Oryctolagus cuniculus: one gene and its partners. The protein of the gene in region 2 purifies or fractionates together with the protein of the main gene of each other region. This does not show direct contact. Links are inferred from orthologs where the notes say so. Each region holds a gene or a part of one and is shown on either strand. Other genes may lie near its edges. The genes, in order: KLC1, KIF5B, KLC4 and KLC3.

Region 1 (4,728 bases), on a different chromosome or scaffold from region 2:
AGGTAGCAGAGAACTGGATAGCCACGATGCTGACTTCACCCACACTCTAGCTCATCTTCAGTTCTGAGAATAACGGTTTCAGTCTCTATCCCCATAAACACACTTGGGGGATTTGCATCTAACTGAACAACTTCCCGACAAGCAGACCCCGTGACACCTGCGATGTCAGGACCCCTGCTCGCGGCCGGCAGGGCTGCCCTTTCTAGCACACACCCCTCTCAGGTGAGTCTGATCCACCTGTTTCCCAGCTTTCTATCCTATTAAACAAGCTATTTTCAGGAAACACTCAGTAATGACAAAACACAATAGTCACTTCTCAGGACTTAAGCCTGGTGCCAGCGCTGTGGTGTAGTGGGTAAAGCCGCTGCCTACAGTGCTGGCTGGCCGCCACCGGTTAGAGTCCCAGCTGCTCTGCTTCCCATCTGGCTCTCTGCTATGGCCTGGGAAAGCAGCAGAAGAGACCCAGAGGAGGCTCCTGGTTCCCGATCAGTGCAGCTCCAGTCATTGCAGCCATTTGGAGAGTGAACCAGCAGATAGAGGATCTCTCTCTCTCTCTCTCTCTCTCTCTGCCTCTGCTTTTCTGTAACTCTGACTTTCAAATAAATAAATAAGACTTCAGCCTGGGGGCCAGTGCTGTGGTACAGTAGGCTGAGCTCCACCCGCAGTGCCAGCATCCCATATGGGTGCTGGTTCGAGTCCTGGCTGTTCACTTCCCATCCAGCTCTCTGCTGTGGCCTGGGAAAGCAGTGGAGGATGGCCCGAGTCCTTGGCTCCTGCACCCACGTGGGAGCTCCAGGCTCCTGGCTTCAGACTGGCTCAGCTCCGGCTGTTGCAGCCATCTGGGGAGTGAACCAGCGGATGGAAGACTTCTCTCTCTGTCTCTCCCTCTCACTGTAACTCAGCTTCTCAAATAAATAAATAAATAAATAAATATTTATAAAAAAAAATAAGACTTTCTGAAATGTCTTTTAAACACAGAATGCTGCATCCTGCTCTCCTGCCTACCTTCTCTCTGATCTCCAGGGCTCTCTTACACAGAGGCTCGGCTTCTTTGTACTTCCCTCTCTTTCCGTAAAGGACAGCCAGGTTGTTCAGGGTCGCCGCCACCTGCCAGTACAGAAAGCCACTAAGAACAGCAACAGACCCGGACGAGGGCACTCACACATCACAGACTCACTTGTACTCAGAGAGGAGGAGGACTTCCGTTACAAGACAGCAACTCACAGAACAGATGACACCAAGTAACACGGCGGAACACACACTGACAGTAAACAAATCAACGTCAACAACATGATTTTTTTAATTCCCCTGGAAGCCACAAAGCCAACCAAAATAGATCTGTATGCAAATCTCAACAGATTTCAATAAAAATATAAATGCTTGAGGAACAAATTTATAGAGGTACATGCAATTTGATTTATGATCAGAACACAGAGCGGGTGGTCCACTGAGTGGTGGCTCTAAAGGGATTGCGTGTGCATGGGCAAATGCCAGAGCAGAGCCGCTGGCCAGCCCTGGGAGACGCCTCCTACCTGCACCGCTAGGACAGGCGGCTCCTAAGCCTTCCCTGTTGAGTTTAATATTAAAATGAGTTGGATAAAACAAGTCCTTGGGGAAAATCAAATGCATGGAGAAGGGAAGAACCAGGCATACAAACCGCAGGGTGATCTCTGCCCAGGGTCTTCTCACGGATGGCCAAGGCGTCGTTGAGCAGATTCGCTGCATCCTTGTACTTATTCTGATCTCTAAATGGAAAAACACACAGAGTGCTGCTGCATCATTGAAAAATCATTTTAGAACTATGAACATAAAAGTTAAGCTTCAGTTACCAAAAAACTAAAACTAAAACAAAAAAACTCTTATGTATGGGAGGGAAGACTGCAAGGAAACCCATCACTAAATGCACTGGCAGCCAGGTGAGCTACAAAATCAGATCTCATAAACTTCTCGCCTGGGTCCCCCAACCCGGACCACTGGGCACCACTGGCCACGCAGGGCTGTCCTGGGGCTGCCGACACGGGGCAGGCACGGCAGCAGAGGGCAGGTGGATATCAGACAGGACTGACCGCACTCAGCTCAGGCTCCCAGGTAACGACCACGTGGCCTCCACACTGCCCAACCTCCCCAGGTCCCTGCCCTCCCACGTGTACTCTGACTATGCTACCTTACCACTGTGAAGTAAGAATTAAGTAGGGGGGCTGCCTATAGGGCTGGCCTCCCATATGGGTGCCGGTTTGTGCCCTGGCTGCTCCACTTCCAATCCAGCTCTCTGCTATGGCCTGGGAAAGCAGTGGAAGATGGCCCAAGTCCTTGGACCCTTGCACCCACATGGGAGACCTAGAAGAAGCTCCTGGCTCCTGGCTTCAGATCAGCCCAGTTCTGGCTGTTGTGGCCATTTGGAGAGTGAACCAGCAGATGGAAGAGCTCTCTCTCTCTCTCTCTCTCACTCTCATTCTCTCTCTGTAACTCTGCCTCTCAAATAAATAAGTCTTCAGAGAGAGAGACAGAGACAGAGAAAAAGACAGGGGGCGGCGCTGTGGCACAGCGGGTTAACGCCCTGGCCTGAAGCGCCAGCATCCCATATGGGCGCCGGTTCTGGTCCCGGCTGCTCCACTTCCCATCCAGCTCTCTGCTGTGGCCTGAGAAAGCAGTGGAAGATGGCCCAGGTGCTTGGGCCCCTGCACCCATGTGGGAGACCTGGAGGAAGCTCTTGGCTCCTGGCTTTGGATCGGCACATTTCCAGCCATTGTGGCACATTGGGGAGTGAACCACTGGACGGAAGACCTCTCTCTGTCTCTCTGCCTCTCCTCTCTCTGTGTAACTCTGACTTTCAAGTAAAAAATAAATCTTTAAAAAAAAAAAAAAACCAGCAGCCCCAGTGCATCCTGGGTTAAGTGTGCCATCGACCACCGCCGTGCTGCAAAACTGGCTCCAGAGACCTACCACACACATTCCCAACTGAAAGCTAACAGCTGCCCAGCAAGGCTCTGCCCTGCACAGCAGGATTAACAAGGTTTGCAGAACCTCTGAATCCCACAAATTCTACCCAAGTGCTTGTATGTTATAGCTGTTGTTCTTGCTTAGTTAACTCATTAGAGACAAAGATCTTCCATCCATTGGTCCACTCCCCAAGAGACCACAATGATCAGGGCTGGGCCAGGGTGAATCCAGGAGCCTGGGACTCCATTCAGGTCTCCCATGTGGGTGGCGGGGCCGCTGCCTTCCCAGGAGCATCAGCGTGAGCTGGATCAGAGGTGGAGCAGCCGGGACTCGAACTGGCGCTCCAACATGGGATGCTGGGTCGCAGGGCGGGGTTACCACAGTGCACAGCGCAGGGCCTCGTGTACTGTTCTCTTCTCCAACCACTCTGGTATACATCATAAGCTGTTCTGAGCATTCTGTGAAACTAAGCAATAGGAAACAAAGTTTTAAAAAACTAGTAACACTGGGGCTGGCACCATGGCTCACTAGGTTAATCCTCCACCTGTGGCGCTGGCATCCCATATGGGTGCCGAGTTCTAGTCCCGGCTGCTCCTCTTGTAGTCCAGCTCTCTGCTGTGGCCTGGGAAGGCAGTGGAGGATGGCCCAGGTGATTGGGCCCTGCACCCGCATGGGAGACCAGGAAGAAGAAACACCTGGCTCCTGGCTTCGGATCGGCGCAGCGCCGGCTGTAGCAGCCATTTGGGGGGTGAACCAATGGAAGGAAGACCCTTCTCTCTGTCTCTCTGTCTCTCTCTCTCTCTCTCTCTCTAACTCTGCCTGTCAAATAAGTGAGGAAAAAAAAAAAAAACTAGTAACACCATTAAAAAAAAGAAAGTTACCTAAAAGTGTGTTGAGAACTAAGACGAGTTACAGTAAGTACTGCTGAAACTGACATGCACTAACATCCTTGGGACACGCTCTAACACACTTGGGACATGCTCTAACACTCTTGGGACTATTAACCCGCCAACGACCAGGTCACAGCCCTGCCTCTCAGGTGCGGCCCCAGACAGCTGCACCACCTCACCTGGAACTTGCTGGACACCTGGACCTCTACAGATCTGCCCAATCAGGATCTCAGAAATAAAGCCCAGCACAAGCCCACCAAGAAACTCAAAATTCCAAATGAAAGCAAAGTGGACCCTGTGAACAATAAACCCTGGGCCATTTTTGTGATACGGGGCACTGGTCTGAGGCCCGGCTGCTCCACTTCCAGTCCAGCTCCCTGCTAAGTAGCCTGGGAAGGCAGCCGAGGACGGCCCCTGCGCGTGGTCCCCTGCCTCCTGTGTGGGAGGCCCAGACAGAATCCGTGTTTCTGGCTCCTGGCTGCAGTCTGGCTCAGCTCTGGCTGTCATGGCTGCTTTCTGTCACTCTGCCTTTCAGATAAATACATCTTTTTTAAAAAAGAAAAAGAAAGTCCTAACTGAGAAATAAGCAAGGCCTCAGGAAACTCATGGAGGACGGAGAGCACGGGAAGCCTCAGCCAGGGCTCCGCTCCTCAGGCCGACGCTGCCCAGGCTGCCTCCAGGAGGCACCAGGCGTCCACACACCACTGTCTCCGGAACACACACCCATCAGGTCTTTTGCAAGTCTCTCTTACAGTGTAACAGAACTCAGGACGGAAGAGAGGCCATGCAGTGTGATGTGCACACCCAGGACATCGACGACAGAACCCGGTTACAGAGGCCGGCACCGGGGCGTAGCGGGTAAAGCTGCCACCCGCAGTGCTGGCATCCCATATGGATG
Region 2 (4,728 bases):
CCCAACCACCTGAGCTCTCACCTCTGTCACACTGGGTCTACACAAGTAAGACACTAGAGCCAGGAAGAGGTGGGCACTGAAGCCAGGTTCTCGGATATGGGACTCGCAGGTGTTTAACTGCTAAGGCTAAACGTTGTCCCAATTTTTTGAACTCTATCATCTCATTTTTCAGACACTCAAAATATCTTCTGTTATCCTGTCCTCCATAGGTGCAGAAAGAGATAGGACCTTTTGGTCATCCAATATTTTTCATGTTTTAAATAAAAATTATGATTTCATTTTTCCATGTCTTTCATTTCCTTGAATCCTTATTACTGCTTTCGTTAAGTACTAGTTAGATCTATGCCCCAAACTTCTGTTTTGTTGTTGCCATCTTCTGGTTTCTATTCAAATCATTACACCCATCCCATGTAGGTGAACATGATTACCGAAGTAGAGAAATGTCTTCTAGGTAAACTAAGAGGACGACTTCTATTAAAAAACAAAAACCAACCTCTAAACCCTTAATTTCTAATAAAAATTTTATCAGTTAAGAATCAAAAAAACAAAGAAATAGAAGTTAAGCGGGCCAGCCCAGTGGTGTAGCAGGTAAGATTGCCGCCTGCAATGCTGGCATCCCATATGAGCACCAGTTCGAGTCCTGGATGCTCCTCTTCTTATCCAACTCTCAGGTCCTTGGGCCCTTGCACTCATGTGGGAGAACCAGAGGAGACTCCTGCCTCCTGGATTCCAATCGGCCTAGCTCCAGTTGTTGTGGCCAGTTTGGGGGAGTGAACCAGTGGATGGAAGACCTCTTTCTCTCTCGCTCTCTGCCTCTGTAACTCCGCCTTGCAAATAAACAAGTAAATAAATCAATCTAAAAAAAAAAAGTTAAATGATTTGAGGGAGAATGCAATAATGAGTTTAAGCTGAGGCTCTCTCTCTCTCTTTTTTTTTTTTTAACTTAGCATTTAGAGCAAACAACCTAAGAAAATCTTTCAGAACTTTTTAAAAATTTTACTCTACAGTGTGAAAATTCTTTATTTTCCAAGTCAAAAAATAGAATTTCCTTGAAAACAGGTTTCAAGTAAGGACATACTGACCACTAGTAACATTATTTCCTCTGAATTTTTTGCAGTTAGTTTCAAATATGTGAGAGAAAAGAAAAGTATACTTACTCTTGAAGGTCAGTGATAAGTTTTTCTTTTGCCTCAACTTCATCTCTCAAACTACTGATTTGTTTTTGATGGGTTTCTCTGTGGCTTTGGATCTGTTGTTCAACGGCTTGCTAAAGTGTTTGAGGGGAAAGAATGTTAGAGTCAGACTAATCAAAATCAGTAACAATGTATTAAAGCCATCAGAATCCAATCTAAGAACAAACTTGCCTTCACTTCATTTGCAGTCTGAACCTTATTTAAGTGCTCCTTTTCCATTTCATGGACTTTCTCTGTTTAGTTAGGGAAAGAAAGCAGAAGAACAAAGTCTTAAAAGAGTCCTCATATAAACCAATCATGTAAGCCAAAGGGACAAATGGGTCTTATGAGAAATAGGTTTTTCAAGAAACACTCAAAATTAAGTTATCCAAATATCACAAAGTAAATCTTGCACTCCAGGCTCAATAACGCGTTGACTACTATATTTGTGCTGATATTAAGCATTGTTTTTTCTTTGCCTAACCCCAGAACAGAGGGTTAAAGGGATGGTAGGCAAAGAAGTTAGTTTCTAAATCTACTTTAAGGTTTATATACAAGAGATCTTTAAGTCTCCTCATACACACACACACACACACACATAACAACTTCATAATCTTACAGGAAACTCCTAGACTGGCCATTTATATATTCAAACACAATTTTTTTAAAATGTTTCAAAGGCAACTTAAAATATATGATGTTTACTATTCCAAGTTACCCATATTCCTACTGTTCTTTATCAGTGTGAATACAAGTTTACTACAATCACCTAAAGGCAAGAAGGATTAACACAGAACATAAACTGGGAGCTAATACCTTGTGCTCGAAGCTGAACTAGTTCTTCACTGAGGGAGTCGACAGATTCTTCGAGCTGCCTTTTCTTCTGCTCCACATTTTGCAGGTATTCAGTCAATGACTTGATTTTGGCTTCATGCTTTTGGAAGAAATACACTGATATGAACAGGAGAAAAACCTCACACACACATTTTGTTGTTAAGAATATCTGGAGGTACAGTAATATCTAAGTATATTACATATGCAGAGGTATCATGTTGAGGGGGTCAAATTTTAAAATGATAGAGTTTATCAATACACTATTCATGCGTAGAGCTTCTACCACGTGCAAACTAAGGGACTAAAGGCTGAAATATGAGACAGTATTTTTAGAATTTTCTCCATCTAATATCACAGTCTTCCTCCTCCTTGCACAGATTCTATCTGGGGAATGATCCCACTCACTGAGTGGCCAAAAATGCCAGAAACCGTTCCTTGGTAGTACTCTCCACTTTGGAATTATTCTAGAGTCCTCCAAAATCATACCATTCGCATCTTTCTAGTACATTTCCATACTTAGTACACACACACTGACAGCTATAACCCGACTAAATCATTTGCACTATCACACTGTAGTAGTACAGGGAAAACTAACATTTTATTGTTACTCTAGAGACTCATTTTTCTGAAAGCTTTTATAATAAATAAAATATACTGATTTACTTCCACGTGGCTGTTAAAAAAAAATGAGGATACTTTGTTCTGTAACACATACTTGGGAGATGCGAAGCTGGCATGCTGCTAGCTCCTTTTCATTTTCTTCCATTTTTTTGTTGCTCTCGGTCTGTGTGCCTTCTAGCTGTTTGCAGCGTTTCACCATCGTCTTGACTTCTGACTTCATCTTGCTGATGTAGAGCCTGGCGACAGTGAACTCTTCGTCTATCATGCCAGTTCCCTCAGGCTGCTGGGAGAGAAAGTAAAATAAAAAGTAAAGCCAGAAAGTTCAGTGCGTCTTCCCAGTTAGACTCTAGTTCTCAAACCATTACAGAACCTTCAGTTATTCAACATTCACAAAAAGGCTGGAGCTAGTTTTTTTTTTTTTATCGTTTTTAATAAAGGATATAGAAGCAGAGCTTAATTTTTGCCTTTCTACTTTTTCAAACTTGGTATGTTAATACATGGCTTATGAGGAAATAAAATAAATGGAAACCTAATAAAAAAAAAGTGACTGACTTCTGCCTCTGTCAAGTTTTACATTTCCTTTTCACAAGACATCTTCATAAATTCATTGTCAACAATGTGCAAGTTCAGTCTAAAATTATTTTTCAAGATTCATTTATTTATTTGGAAGGCAGAGTTAGAGAGGGGCAGAGGCAGGGACAGAGACCTTCCATCCACGGTTCACTCCCAAAATGGCCACTACGGCCAGTGGTGGGTCTCGAACCAGTGCCCGTATGGGATGCTGGCATTGCAGGCGGTGGCTTTACCTGCTACACCACAGCGCCAGCCCCTCAGTTTAAAATTTAACAAGAGGATGTTTGGGGTGGTAGGGAAATGATGACTTTTGAGTATAACAAGGAAGAGCTGTGGCCATTGCACATTCCTTGACTTTTATAGATTTCATTAAAAAACTCCAATACTCAATGTCAAACTTATATGCATCTTGGATAGGAGGCAATAAAACTGTTGTTGCAGATATGATTGCTTACAAAAATCAAAAACAGAGACAAAACAAAAACACTCCTGGAACGAATAAGCCATGATAGCAAGGTTGCAGGATACAAGGTTAATATATGAAAGTCAGTCACTGCAGCCAGCGCTGTAGCATAGTGGGTTAAGCCTCTGCTTGTGGCACCGGCATCCCAAATGAGCGCCAGTCCTGGCTGCTCCACTTCCAATTCAGCTCCCTGCCAATGGCCTGGGAAGGCAGCAGAAGATGGCCCAAGTCCTTGGGCCCCTGCATCCATGTGGGAAACCCAGAGGAAGCTCCTGGCTCCTACCTTAGGATGAGCCAAGCTCCGGCCGTTGCGGCCATCTGGGGAGTGAACCAGGAGATTAAAGACCTCTCTCTGTCTCTCCCTCTCTCTGTAACTCTGCCTCTTAAATAAATTAATAAAACTTTAAAAAAGGAAAAAATTCAGTCACTGCTTCCTCAATATGGTGAATGAAAATCACAGTAAACTATTTTGTGGATGTCAACAAACCGATTTCTAGATTTTACATGGAGAGTCAAAACATCCCCGATAGCCAACATGATCCTGAAGAACAAAGTCAGAAGACTGACACTAAGACTTATTACGAAGCAACAATAACTTAGACGGTACAACAGTTCCTCCTCTTCACAGGGACACACAGTAAGACATTCCCAGGATGCCCAAAACTACAAACAAGACTAACCCCTGAATGTGATGTTTTTCCTAAATATATCTACCTATGAGAAAGTTTGATGTCTAAGGAAATTAATATCAATAATAAAATAGAACTGTAACAATCTAGTGTAATAAGTTATTTAAAACACATGAATTGATAATTTCTGGAAATTTCCATTTGGACTGCAGCTGACTACAGACGACTGAACCCACAGAAAGCCTAACTGCCAACAAGGAAGTTTTCGGACTAGTGCTGTGGCGTAGTGGGTAAAGCTGCCACCTGCAGTGCTGGCATCCCATATAGGAACCGATTTGAGTGCTCCACTTCCAATCCCGCTCTCTGCTATGGCCTGGGAAAGCAGTGGAAGATGATCCAAGTCCTTGGGCTCCTGTACCCACATGGGAGACTCTGA
Region 3 (4,728 bases), on a different chromosome or scaffold from region 2:
CATCCAGATGGGCTTGTGGTCGTCTGGGGGTGACACATGGAGTGGGGAGGTTAGAGAACATAGCCAGACAGTCTGTGAGAGCCAGGACCCACAGGCTGACACTGCTGGGCGAAAGGGGTCTCCTCCCCCAACCCCGGAACCACCGTGATCTTAACCCCCCACCTTCCATGGGCATTTCTTTTCTTCCCTGCAGCCCCCTCCCCAGGCCCACACCACTCACCATCCACAGACCCAAACTCTTGCACGTGGGCTCGGGTCAGGATCTCTTTGTACAGCGTCTCGGCCTCAGCATACTTGCCCTGCTTCAGGTAACAGGAAGCCTGGGAGGCAGGAAGGCCAAAGCACAGGAGCAAGAGATGGAGGGAGACAAGGTCTTTGCCGGGCTCAGGGGCGTCCACTTCTTGCTGTCTCTCTGACTTTCCCCAGAAGGCCTCCTATTCTAGCAGCAGGGTCAAAGGTATCCCCACTCCACTCCCAAGAGGCTCTGGCACTTCTGCCGCTGGCTTGAAGCAGCTCCTTCAGTCCCAAAGGCAGCCCCAGAGACGGGCACACGGTGGATGAGAGTGGCATGCCAATTCCAGTGCTTCTGGCCAATTCCAGGAGCCAGGTGGCCTCCCCCGCCCCCTCCTTCCACCCCGTGTCCTTTCATCCCTTACCAGGTTGTTCTTGGTGCGGGCTACATTCGGGTTGTCCGGCCCCAGCTGCCCCTCATAGATGGCCAGTGCTCGCAGGTAATAGCGCTCTACGGCCTCATACTTGCCCTGGTTCTGGCACAGAAGGGCCAGGTTGTTTAGCTGCTTTGCTACATCTGGGTGGTCAGTGCCAAGGACCTGGAGGGGAGCAAAGGGGCAGACAAAAGGCCATAATGATGGTTCACACACACAGGGAGCAGAGGGAAGGGAATGAGGGAGAGGAAACAGGGCTGGGCGTGGGGGTGGGGGTAAGGGGAAGAAGTGAAGGACAAGGGTAGACTGACATGGGGGAAGGGTCACAGTGATGGATGGGGACGAATGGAGAGAGGCTCGGGTACCTTCTCTCGGATCTCCAGTGCTCGCTGGCACAGCGGTTCTGCCTCCTTGTATTTGCCCCTTTTGCCGTAGAGCACAGCCAGATTGTTGAGTGTGGCAGCCACCTATGAAGACAGACCTGGCCCATCAGACGTGCAGGACCCAGGAGAACCTGAGGTCCCCTCCCCACCGCCGCACAGCAGGGCCCCACGTGGCACAACACCAAGAGAGGTGGACTCTCACTGACACACTCAGAAGCTGAGGGGAGGAAGGCTCCGGGGCTCTGAGGGTGTTGTACCGCCCTCTAGGGGGACTTCTAGAAATTTCTGGAGTGTTGTTTTGGGGTTGCCATGAAGACTGAGGGTACTATTACCCCTGAGGAGGTGAGAACACAACAGATGTTCTGCATGTGCAGGGCGACTATGCCAACTTCTGAACGTCCTGCCTGGCACTCAAACATAGACAGCAAGCTTTGACTTTGACTTTTGGTGGGATATCAAGATGGGAGTCGTGTATTCTGAGACCCATCATCCCTGCTGTCACATACCTTAAAAAAGGAGCTTATTTCCCATTTTTTCCACTTTAACAATCTATCATTTGTTTTGGCCTACTGGCCCTACTTATGAGGCTATATCTCTGTTTTCTTCTCATATTCAAATCAGTCTGGCCTGTGATTACTTATTATAACACTGCCTTCTAATCAGGTATGTACTCACACTTCTGTCTCATTTTTCTCTTACTTCTTACACAGAAGCACCTACTGGTCTACTTCTAAATCCAGAGTTATTCCTCATATATCACACTACTTTATTATGTCTTCTAGCACTGTTGTACTCAACACAGTTATTCTTGTGTTGTATTTTTATCTTAGCATACTACGTTAAATTTATTGTTCTCATAAATTACTTCCCTTGCTTCTCTTTCATATTAACTAGTGTGTCATATTAACTTTCTTGTAAGTAGGATACATTGTCTATGAATTAAATTTCAGAATATTAATTATAAAAAGCAAGTAACTGAACTGCAGAGAATTGAGAGCCACGGAGATACCGGATGGTGCTGGCAGAAAGGAGGTCCTGTGCCTCCTTCCTGAGCATCCGAGTGAGGGAACCAAGGGCAGCGTGCGGACAAGCTAAGAGAACAACGGCAGAGGGCAGAGGGCAGAGGGCAGAGGGCAAGGAGCACTGACAGCAGGATGGTCCCGGCCCAGAGTGCTCTCCCGGATGCTGAGGGCATCGTTCAGCAGGTGGGCAGCTTCCTTATACTTATTCTGGTCCCTGGAAGAGGCCAAAGGTGACAACGGTTACCCTGACCTCTGCTCCCAAGTCATCTCCTTCCCACTCTCCCTCCCCTGGGGAGGACTGAGGTATATTTAGAGATCGGGGACACCCATGGGGACAAGAGGCCTGGTGTGGATGGTGAGAGGGCTCCACTGATACATCCAGACCAGGATGCAGAGCACTGTTGTCCTCCGAGGAGGCCACAGGAAGCTAGGGTGTGTGTGGTGTGTGTGTATGTGTGTGTGTGTGTGGAGGCTCCCTCCAGGAGAGACCAGAGCAGCAAACAGCCTGCGAGATGAGTATCGTCTGAGGTCAAGGACTTGGCATGGTACCCAGTGGGGAATATCCTGGAAGCCCAGCAGGGAGAAGAGGCACCCAGTGGAGAGGAGGCATGGGTGCCAAAGAGGGAGAGGAGTCTGGGGGGCGGGGGGGCGGTGCTCACCGATACACCAAGGCGAGGATGTTGAGCATGGTGGCGACATCAGGGTGGCCACGGCCAGATGTGCGCTCCAGGTCCTCCAGCGCCTGCTTGCAGAGCGGCACAGCCACCTCATAGCGACCCTGGGCTGCGTACTGAATCACCAGGTTGTGTAGCGTCCGCAACCTTGCTGGGATCTCATATCCACCCTGCTGGGCGGCTGCAGCGCCTTGGCCACGCGACACTGAGCCAGCCCGGAAAACGAACAGCAGATTTCCTGGAGGACTCTTCCTCTCCCACCCCAGACCTCCCCTCTATGTCTTGTTCCATACCTGCACCTGCCCCTACCAGACTCTCTCTACTGACACCAGAGCCTCCACTGCTATTCTGTTACCTGCTCCCTGGAACCTGTGCCCACTACAGTTCTATTTGTTCCCAGTGATGCATTCACTCAATAAGACTGAGCGGGGCCAGTGTTGTGACATAAAGGGTTAAGCCACCACTTATGACCCTGGCATCCCACATGAGTGCCAATTTGAGTCCCAGCTGCTCCACTTCTGATCCAGCTCCTGAGAAAGTGGCAGAATATAGCCCAAATACTTGGGAGATCCAGATAGATGTCCAGGCTCTTGGCTTTGACCTGGCCTAGCCTTGACAGTTGCAGTCATTTGGGGAGTGAACTAGCAGATGGAAAATTCCCCTCTCTCTCTCCCTCCCTCCCTACCTCTCTCTCTCATAGCCTTTCAAATAAATAAAAAAATCTTAAAAAAAATAATAAGCCTGAGCCAGGGGCTATCCCAGGAACACAAAGATAAGAAAGAGCTGGTTCCTTCCCCTGAAGAACTCATGCTCTTCCCATCTCAGGTTCATTCCCCCATAGACCGTGAACACATCACCAGTGAGACCTGTGTTATTTTCATCTTGCTATTCCTAGTGCTCGGCACATATCGCTTAATAAACATTGATGATAAGGAGGAGGCTGAGAAAATTAAAGGACTAGCCCAGCCCTGCCCCCTCTCCAGAGAGAGGGGAGAACCTGTTTCTGGATGGTGACATCCTGAGCACAGGGCTGGGCCCAGAGCAGCCTCTTGCTGCCCCTCGTTCCCCTCCAGCTCTGAGGCAGACTCACAGCCGTTGCTAGGGTCCTCCTCCTCTTCGTTGGGGAAGAGGTCATCCAGAGAATCCTTGGTGGCATCCCCTTGTTTTTCCTCCTGGAAGGGAAGCAGTAGCATGTGAGGGCCAAGATAGCGCCGGTGTGAGGGCCCCTCTAAGCCACAAAGTCACTGAGAGGGGCCTCTGCCCTGGGAAGGCCAGCATCCGGCCCAGCCACACTCAGGCCTCTTTTGTTGGCAAAAGCCAGAGATGCTTGGCACAAATTCCCACGACTTCCCCTTCCTTCACATCCAGAAAGTTCCCTTCCTTACTACCTCCACTCCCCAGCCTCCCTCTCTCCTGCTCCACTCTTGTAATTATAGCCCTGTGCTGATGCCTGGTGTTTACTCTGATTATATGTCTGTTCTGTCTCTCCTGAGGCCGGACAGTGTCTCTGACCTTACTGACACATGCCCAAGGTGTCTCGCTCAGCCTCACACCCATCATCTGCCACTGCCTGCTTCGGACATAGTGAGCACCCCTCACTGTCCAACCTACTTCCACACTGGGAGAATCTGCTTTTCCCATCAGGAACGGCAGCTTTAAGCAGCGACCTCCAGCCCTTTCCCCTGCCCCCTGCCCTCTGCCCCCTGTACCAGTGTGTCCCATGCAAAGCGTCTCCTGACTCTCTCAGGGGTAGACCAGTAGTGCAGCCCTGGAGCCTTAGCTTGACTCCCCTGTCTCTCTTCCTTGTCATCCTTCAAGAATCATCCCAAACCCTTGTCAAATGAGAAATTCAACCTAAAGCATACCCATCTCTGTCCCCGGCCCCCTCTGGGAATCCTTTAATCATTCCGGCCTCAGGGGCCTACCTCCTATGAATTCCTCTTGCACTTACTGAGCCATACTCACCCAGCACGGAACATCTGCT
Region 4 (5,413 bases), on a different chromosome or scaffold from region 2:
CTCTCTCCCTTAATCCCCCTGCCCTATGTGCTACATACAGATAAAGGACCCAGAGCTTCGGCGAGGGATCCCTGCTGCCCCCTTGTGGCGCGGACAGGAAATGGCAAGCACCGGGTTTGAACTCAGACCTGCGGCCCCTACCCCCACCCCCCACCCCGGCTTTAACATGGGAGCTGCAGCAGCCCCTGTCCTTGGGGTGAAGATATGTTTATTTTATTTAGCTGGAAGGCAATGTTACACACAGAGAGGGAGAAAGAGATCTTCCATTTGCTGGTTCACTCCCTAAATGGCTGCATTAGCCAGGGCTGGACCAGGCCAGAGCCAGGAGCCAGGAACAGCATCCCGGTCTCCCACGCGGGTGCAGGGGCTCCGCTGCTTTCCCAGGTGCATTAGCAGGGAGCCGGATCGGAAGTGGAGCCTCCTCGTGGGATGCTGGTGTTGGATTCGGCAGCTTAACCCACTGTACAACACCAACAGCCGACTTTAAAAAAAAAATTATTTTATTTATTTGAAAGAGTTAGAGAGAGAGGTAGAAACAGAGGGAGAGAGGGCTTCCATCTGCTGGTGCACCCCCCAGATGGCTGCAACGGCCGGAGCTGCGCCGATCCGAAGCCAGGAGCTTCTTCTGGGTCTCCCACGCGGGTACAGGGGCTCAAGGACTTGGGCCATCTTCTACTGCCTTCCCAGGTGCATTAACAGGGAGCTGGATGGATGGGAAGTGGAGTGGCCGGGACTAGAACTGACGCCCGCATGGGATGCCGGCACTTCAGGCCAGGGCTTTAACCCGCTGCACCACAGCCGACTTTGTAATGGGGGAGAAGACGGAACTGATAATAAAACATTACACAGTTAGGGCCTGCGCCACGGCTCACTAGGCTAATCCTCTGCCTGCAGTGCCAGCACCCCGGGTTCTAGTCCCGGTTGCCCCTCTTCCAGGCCAGCTCTCTGCTGTGGCCCGCGAGTGTAGTGGAGGATGGCCCAAGTGCTTGGGCCCTGCACCCCATGGGAGACCAGGAGAAGCACCTGGCTCCTGTCTTCGGATCAGCGCAGTGCCGGCCGCGGCGGCCATTGGAGGGTGAACCAACGGCAAAGGAAGACCTTTCTCTCTCTCTCTCTCTCTCTCTCACTAACTCTGTCAAAAAAAAAAAAAAAAAAAAAAAAAAAAACCAAAAAACTGGAATCAAACTTGAACCCAGGGGCTGGTGCTGTGGCATAGCAGGTTAAATCTCTACCTGCAGTGCCAGCATCCCACATGGGCGCCAGTTCAAGTCCGGCTGCTCCACTTCCAATCCAGCTCCCTGCTAATGCACCTGGGAAAGCAACAGAAGATGGCACAAGTGCTTGGGTCCCTGAGGCCACACAAGGAACCCAGAAGACGCTCCTGGCTCCTGGCTCTGGCCTGGCCCAGCCCTGGCTGTTGCAGCCTTTTGAGGAATGAACCAACAGCTGAAAAAAATCTCTCATTCTATCTCTCCTCTTTCTCTGCAGCTCTGCCTTTCAACTAAATAAATCTTTAAGATTACTGTAACAGGGACCAGCACTGTGGCATAGCGGCATCCCATATGGGCGCTGGTTCAAGTCCCGGCTGCCCCACTTCTGATCCAGCTCCCTGCTAATGCACATGGGAAAACAGCAGGAGATGGCCCAAGTGTTTGGGCCCCTGCACCCACGTGGGAGACCTGAAGAAGCTCCTGGCTCCTGGCTTCAGCCTGGCCCAGCCCTGGCCGTCGAGGCCATTTGGGGTGGAAATCTCCCGTCTCTCTCTCTGCCTCTCTGTAACTCCACCTTTTAATTAAAATATATAAATCATTTTAAAAGTATTGTAACAATAAAATAAAATGATGTGCTATATAAAATAATTTGAGGCTCTGAAAATATTTGTGAACAATATCAGGATGGGTGTGGGGTGGGGGTCGCGAGGGATGCCGCTAAGAAGGGGCCAGCAGGAAGGCTTCTTGGAGGAGGCGAAGTCTGCAGCCGGAGCGCAGGTTTCCCGGACGGCAAGCGTGGCCGCGGCCCTGGTTCCCGGAGGCTGCGCGCGCGAGTCCTGCGGGGCCTGAGCCGCGCGCCGACCCTCCCCTCCGGGGGCGGGGCCGGCCGCACCTGCGGGGGGCGGGGCTCCGGCCGCACCTGCGGGGGCGGGACTCCGGCCGCCCCGCCTTCCGGCGGAGCCGCCCGCGGCCCGAGACGCGGTCACAGCCGGGAGCGGCGGGGCGTGCGGAGCCTGCGGGACGCCGTCGAGCGGGGCGCGGAGCCGTCGGCTGTCCGGTGGGCGCGGGAGTCGCGGGAAGCCGCCCTGATGGGGCGCGGGGCCAAGGGGAGGGCTGGGATTGGCGCGCCCCTGGGCCCATTCGCCTGGCCACGGGGACGGGACGCGGGGCCCCTGGGAACTCCCTGCCCCGTCCCGGGGCTCCCTGGGGTCCGCAGGCCGGGCTGGGGCCGCGCCCGGTCCCCCAGGCGCAGGTAAACAGGAGCGGGGCGGGGCGGGGCCTAGGGGCGGGAGGGGCCCTCGTGACAGCGGGCGGCGGGGCAGCGTGCCTGGAGCTGGGCCGGGGTCGCGGCCTGCTGCCCGCCCGCGGTGGGTGCGACACGGTGCGTGACAGCGCGGGGGACAGCGGGAGGCCGGGCTGCGGGACGATGCGGGCGTCCGCACGGTGCGGTGAGCACGGGCGCGTCCCCTGCCGAGTGCGTGCAAGACTCGCCAGGTTAGGACATTGTGTTCTCCCACTCCCTTCTCGAAGTTTCCTCGCCGGCGTGGGGCTGTGCGTGTGCGCAGAACCCCGGGCGTCCCCCGTCTGTACGGAGCTGGGTGCAGACACGCGGGTCTCCCCGCTCGCATGACCACAGCTGTCCACACCACGGGCGCCCGCGGCTGCCAGTGGCGCTCCTCCCCGGTCAGGGACCATTGGCGCACGCGTGTTTGCAGCTGTGAGTGTGTGTGGCACAGAAGGCCGGGGGGGGGGCCCTCCTGGCCAGGGGTGGGGACGAGTTGGGGGGGGCGCCCACGGGGAACCGTGAGAGTGCATTTGGCAGGGTGAGTGTGGGAGGGGCCGGCCTGGAGGGGCTCTGATTCTGCAAGTGAGGAGGGTGGGGGAGATGAGAGTCATTTCAGAGGCCACACCTGCGTGTGGGCGTGTCTCCCAAGGGTGCGTGTGTTGCTGAGCGGAGCGCTCCCACGTGTGCACGCACATACACCTGATCTCTTCAGGGATGTGGGTGTGCGTCAGCGCCGACCTGTATGTATAACGAAAAAAAGTTTACGAATTTTTGTTTATCTGAAAGGCAGGGAGACTGACCATCCGGGAGAGGTGGCCCATCCACGCTGGTTCACCCTGCCAAACGGCCACAGTGGGCAGGCTGAAGCCGGGCACCTGGAAGTCCACTAGGGTCTCCTCCCTCGCGGGGGCAGGGGTCTAAGCACGCAGCCGGCCTCCGCTGCTTTCCCCCAGGCCATCAGCAGGGAGCTGGATGGGAGGTGGAGCAGCCGAGACAGGAACCGGCTCCCACATGGGACGCCGGCGTCTCAGACAGCTGTATAAGACGCTGTCTGTCGCATTGTGTGTGACGGAAGGAGAGCAGCGACTGTGTGTGGTGTGTTGTACAGGTCTGTAAGGGCAGGTGTGTGGGGCCGGTAAAGCCACCGCCTGCAGAGCCAGCTTCCCATATGGGCGCTGGTTCAAGTCCCTGATGCGCCACTTCCACTCTGGCTCTCTGCGAATGGACCTGGGAATAGCAGTGGAAGATGGCCCAAGTCCCTGGGCCCTTGCACCCGCGTGGGAGACCCGGAAGAGGCTCCTGGCTTTGTATCGGCCCAGCTCTAGCCATTGTGGCCATCTGGGGAGTGCACCAGCAGATAGAAGATCTCTGTCTCTCCCTCTCTCTGTAACTCTGCCTTTCAAATAAATAAATACGTCTTTAAAAAAAAAAAAAAAAAAGAGGCAGGTGAGTGTGTGACACTAGGAAGACCCCCGAGGCATCGCCAGCTGTCTCTGAGGCCTTGTCCCTCACATCACAACCCCAGGGAGTCCCGTGTGTGGGACCTCCACCCATTACCCCCGGCCGTGATGGCCAGTGACACCCATGGGCCGCACCTGTGTGTCTCAACAGGCCCTGGCTGAGCCTGTCTGTGGCACAGGGTGGAGTCCCTGTTCCCTCGGGGTCTGTCAAGGCCAATGCATTGTCCCCCTGGAAGTCTTTTCAACCCAGAGGCCTCCTCTGCTTCCGGCGCCCCAGCCTCCAGCCTTCTCCTCCCACCCCGCCCCAGCCCAGCCCAGCCCCAGTGGTCCGACTGGTTCCCAACAAAAACACCCTAAGAATGAGCTCACAGCGGCTGGGCAGCCGCCTCCACACGCCCCACCCACTTGCCCCGCAGCAGGGGGCCGCTGCACCCCGGGCAGCCAGATCCTGGCCAGGCACGGACCCCGGAGCGGGCCGGCTATGTGCCCAGCTTGGCTAACCGGGGGCTGTCCCGTAGGTGTAAGAGCAGGATGGGCAGGGCATGGCGGCGTGGCTGGGATGGATCAATGGCAGGGATCCTGCTGGCCCGGGAGACCGGGTGCCAGGGGCCTTGACATGAGCCCCCCACCCCCCTGCCCCAGGAGCAGCCATGTCCGTGCAGGTGGCAGCGCCCGGAAGTGCAGGGCTGAGCCCAGAGCGCCTGAGCCCTGAGGAGCTGATGCGACAGACGCGGCAGGTGGTGCAGGGGCTGGAGGCCCTGCGGGCCGAGCACCGCGGCCTGGCTGGGCGCCTGGCCGAAGCCCTGGCGGGCCCGGGGCCTGTGGCCGGCTCGGAGCTGCTCGAAGAAAAGCAGCAGGTGGTGAACCACTCGCTGGAGGCCCTGGAGCTGGGGCTGGGCGAGGCGCAGGTACCAGGGGCACTCGCGCCAGGGGGAGGGGTGGGCCCCTGAGTGAGGGTCCTGGGGAGCCTCTGGGGTCACCTGAGCCGCGCGGCAGAGTCTGGGGGCCCGGGGCAGGGCGGGTGGGATCCAGCCCCACGGCCCCCACCCCTCGCAGATGCTGCTGGCCCTGTCGGCGCACGTGGGCGCACTGGAGGCAGAGAGGCAGCGGCTGCGGGCGCAGGCCCGGCGCCTGGCCCAGGAGAACGCGTGGCTGCGGGAGGAGCTGGAGGAGACGCAGCGGCGGCTGCGGGCCAGCGAGGAGGCCGTGGCCCAGCTGGAGGAGGAAAAGGGCCACCTGGAGTTCCTGGGCCAGCTGCGGCAGTACGAGTCGCCGGCAGGGAGCCAGGTGCACACCCGCCTCAGACTCCACAGAGCCCCCGGGGGGCCCCGCAGGCTCCAGGGCAGCGCCCCCCAGACCTTGAGGCAGACTCGGTGCCCCCCCCCACATACACCTCCTTTTCCCGTCCTGCCCACAGCGGCCGGAGTCCCCCCCTCGCCGAGACAGCCTGGCCTCCC

Evidence for each region.
Region 1: the proteins of KIF5B (region 2) and KLC1 purify together in Homo sapiens (co-immunoprecipitation; 11 studies listed by BioGRID and IntAct, counting the BioPlex papers as one, with this or other methods). This does not show direct contact. The link is inferred for Oryctolagus cuniculus from reciprocal best matches to the Homo sapiens genes KIF5B and KLC1.
Region 3: the proteins of KIF5B (region 2) and KLC4 purify together in Homo sapiens (affinity purification with mass spectrometry; 4 studies listed by BioGRID and IntAct, with this or other methods). This does not show direct contact. The link is inferred for Oryctolagus cuniculus from reciprocal best matches to the Homo sapiens genes KIF5B and KLC4.
Region 4: the proteins of KIF5B (region 2) and KLC3 purify together in Homo sapiens (affinity purification with mass spectrometry; 3 studies listed by BioGRID and IntAct, with this or other methods). This does not show direct contact. The link is inferred for Oryctolagus cuniculus from reciprocal best matches to the Homo sapiens genes KIF5B and KLC3.

Annotation. Positions count from the first base shown.
Region 1 is NC_091451.1:46,444,244-46,448,971, reverse strand, and holds part of KLC1 (kinesin light chain 1), read right to left. Parts: intron 1,746-4,728; coding exon 1,658-1,745; intron 1,108-1,657; coding exon 1,006-1,107; intron 1-1,005. UniProt on the Homo sapiens protein: Kinesin is a microtubule-associated force-producing protein that may play a role in organelle transport. The light chain may function in coupling of cargo to the heavy chain or in the modulation of its ATPase activity.
Region 2 is NC_091444.1:102,452,509-102,457,236, forward strand, and holds part of KIF5B (kinesin-1 heavy chain), read right to left. Parts: intron 2,911-4,728; coding exon 2,722-2,910; intron 2,107-2,721; coding exon 1,989-2,106; intron 1,427-1,988; coding exon 1,365-1,426; intron 1,268-1,364; coding exon 1,158-1,267; intron 1-1,157. UniProt on the Homo sapiens protein: Microtubule-dependent motor required for normal distribution of mitochondria and lysosomes. Can induce formation of neurite-like membrane protrusions in non-neuronal cells in a ZFYVE27-dependent manner.
Region 3 is NC_091436.1:126,954,365-126,959,092, forward strand, and holds part of KLC4 (kinesin light chain 4), read right to left. Parts: intron 3,917-4,728; coding exon 3,835-3,916; intron 2,950-3,834; coding exon 2,730-2,949; intron 2,285-2,729; coding exon 2,197-2,284; intron 1,133-2,196; coding exon 1,031-1,132; intron 831-1,030; coding exon 657-830; intron 321-656; coding exon 221-320; intron 24-220; coding exon 1-23.
Region 4 is NC_091449.1:11,491,250-11,496,662, reverse strand, and holds the start of KLC3 (kinesin light chain 3), read left to right. Parts: upstream 1-2,146; 5' UTR 2,147-2,268; intron 2,269-4,598; 5' UTR 4,599-4,606; coding exon 4,607-4,864; intron 4,865-5,012; coding exon 5,013-5,243; intron 5,244-5,373; coding exon 5,374-5,413. UniProt on the Homo sapiens protein: Kinesin is a microtubule-associated force-producing protein that may play a role in organelle transport. Plays a role during spermiogenesis in the development of the sperm tail midpiece and in the normal function of spermatozoa.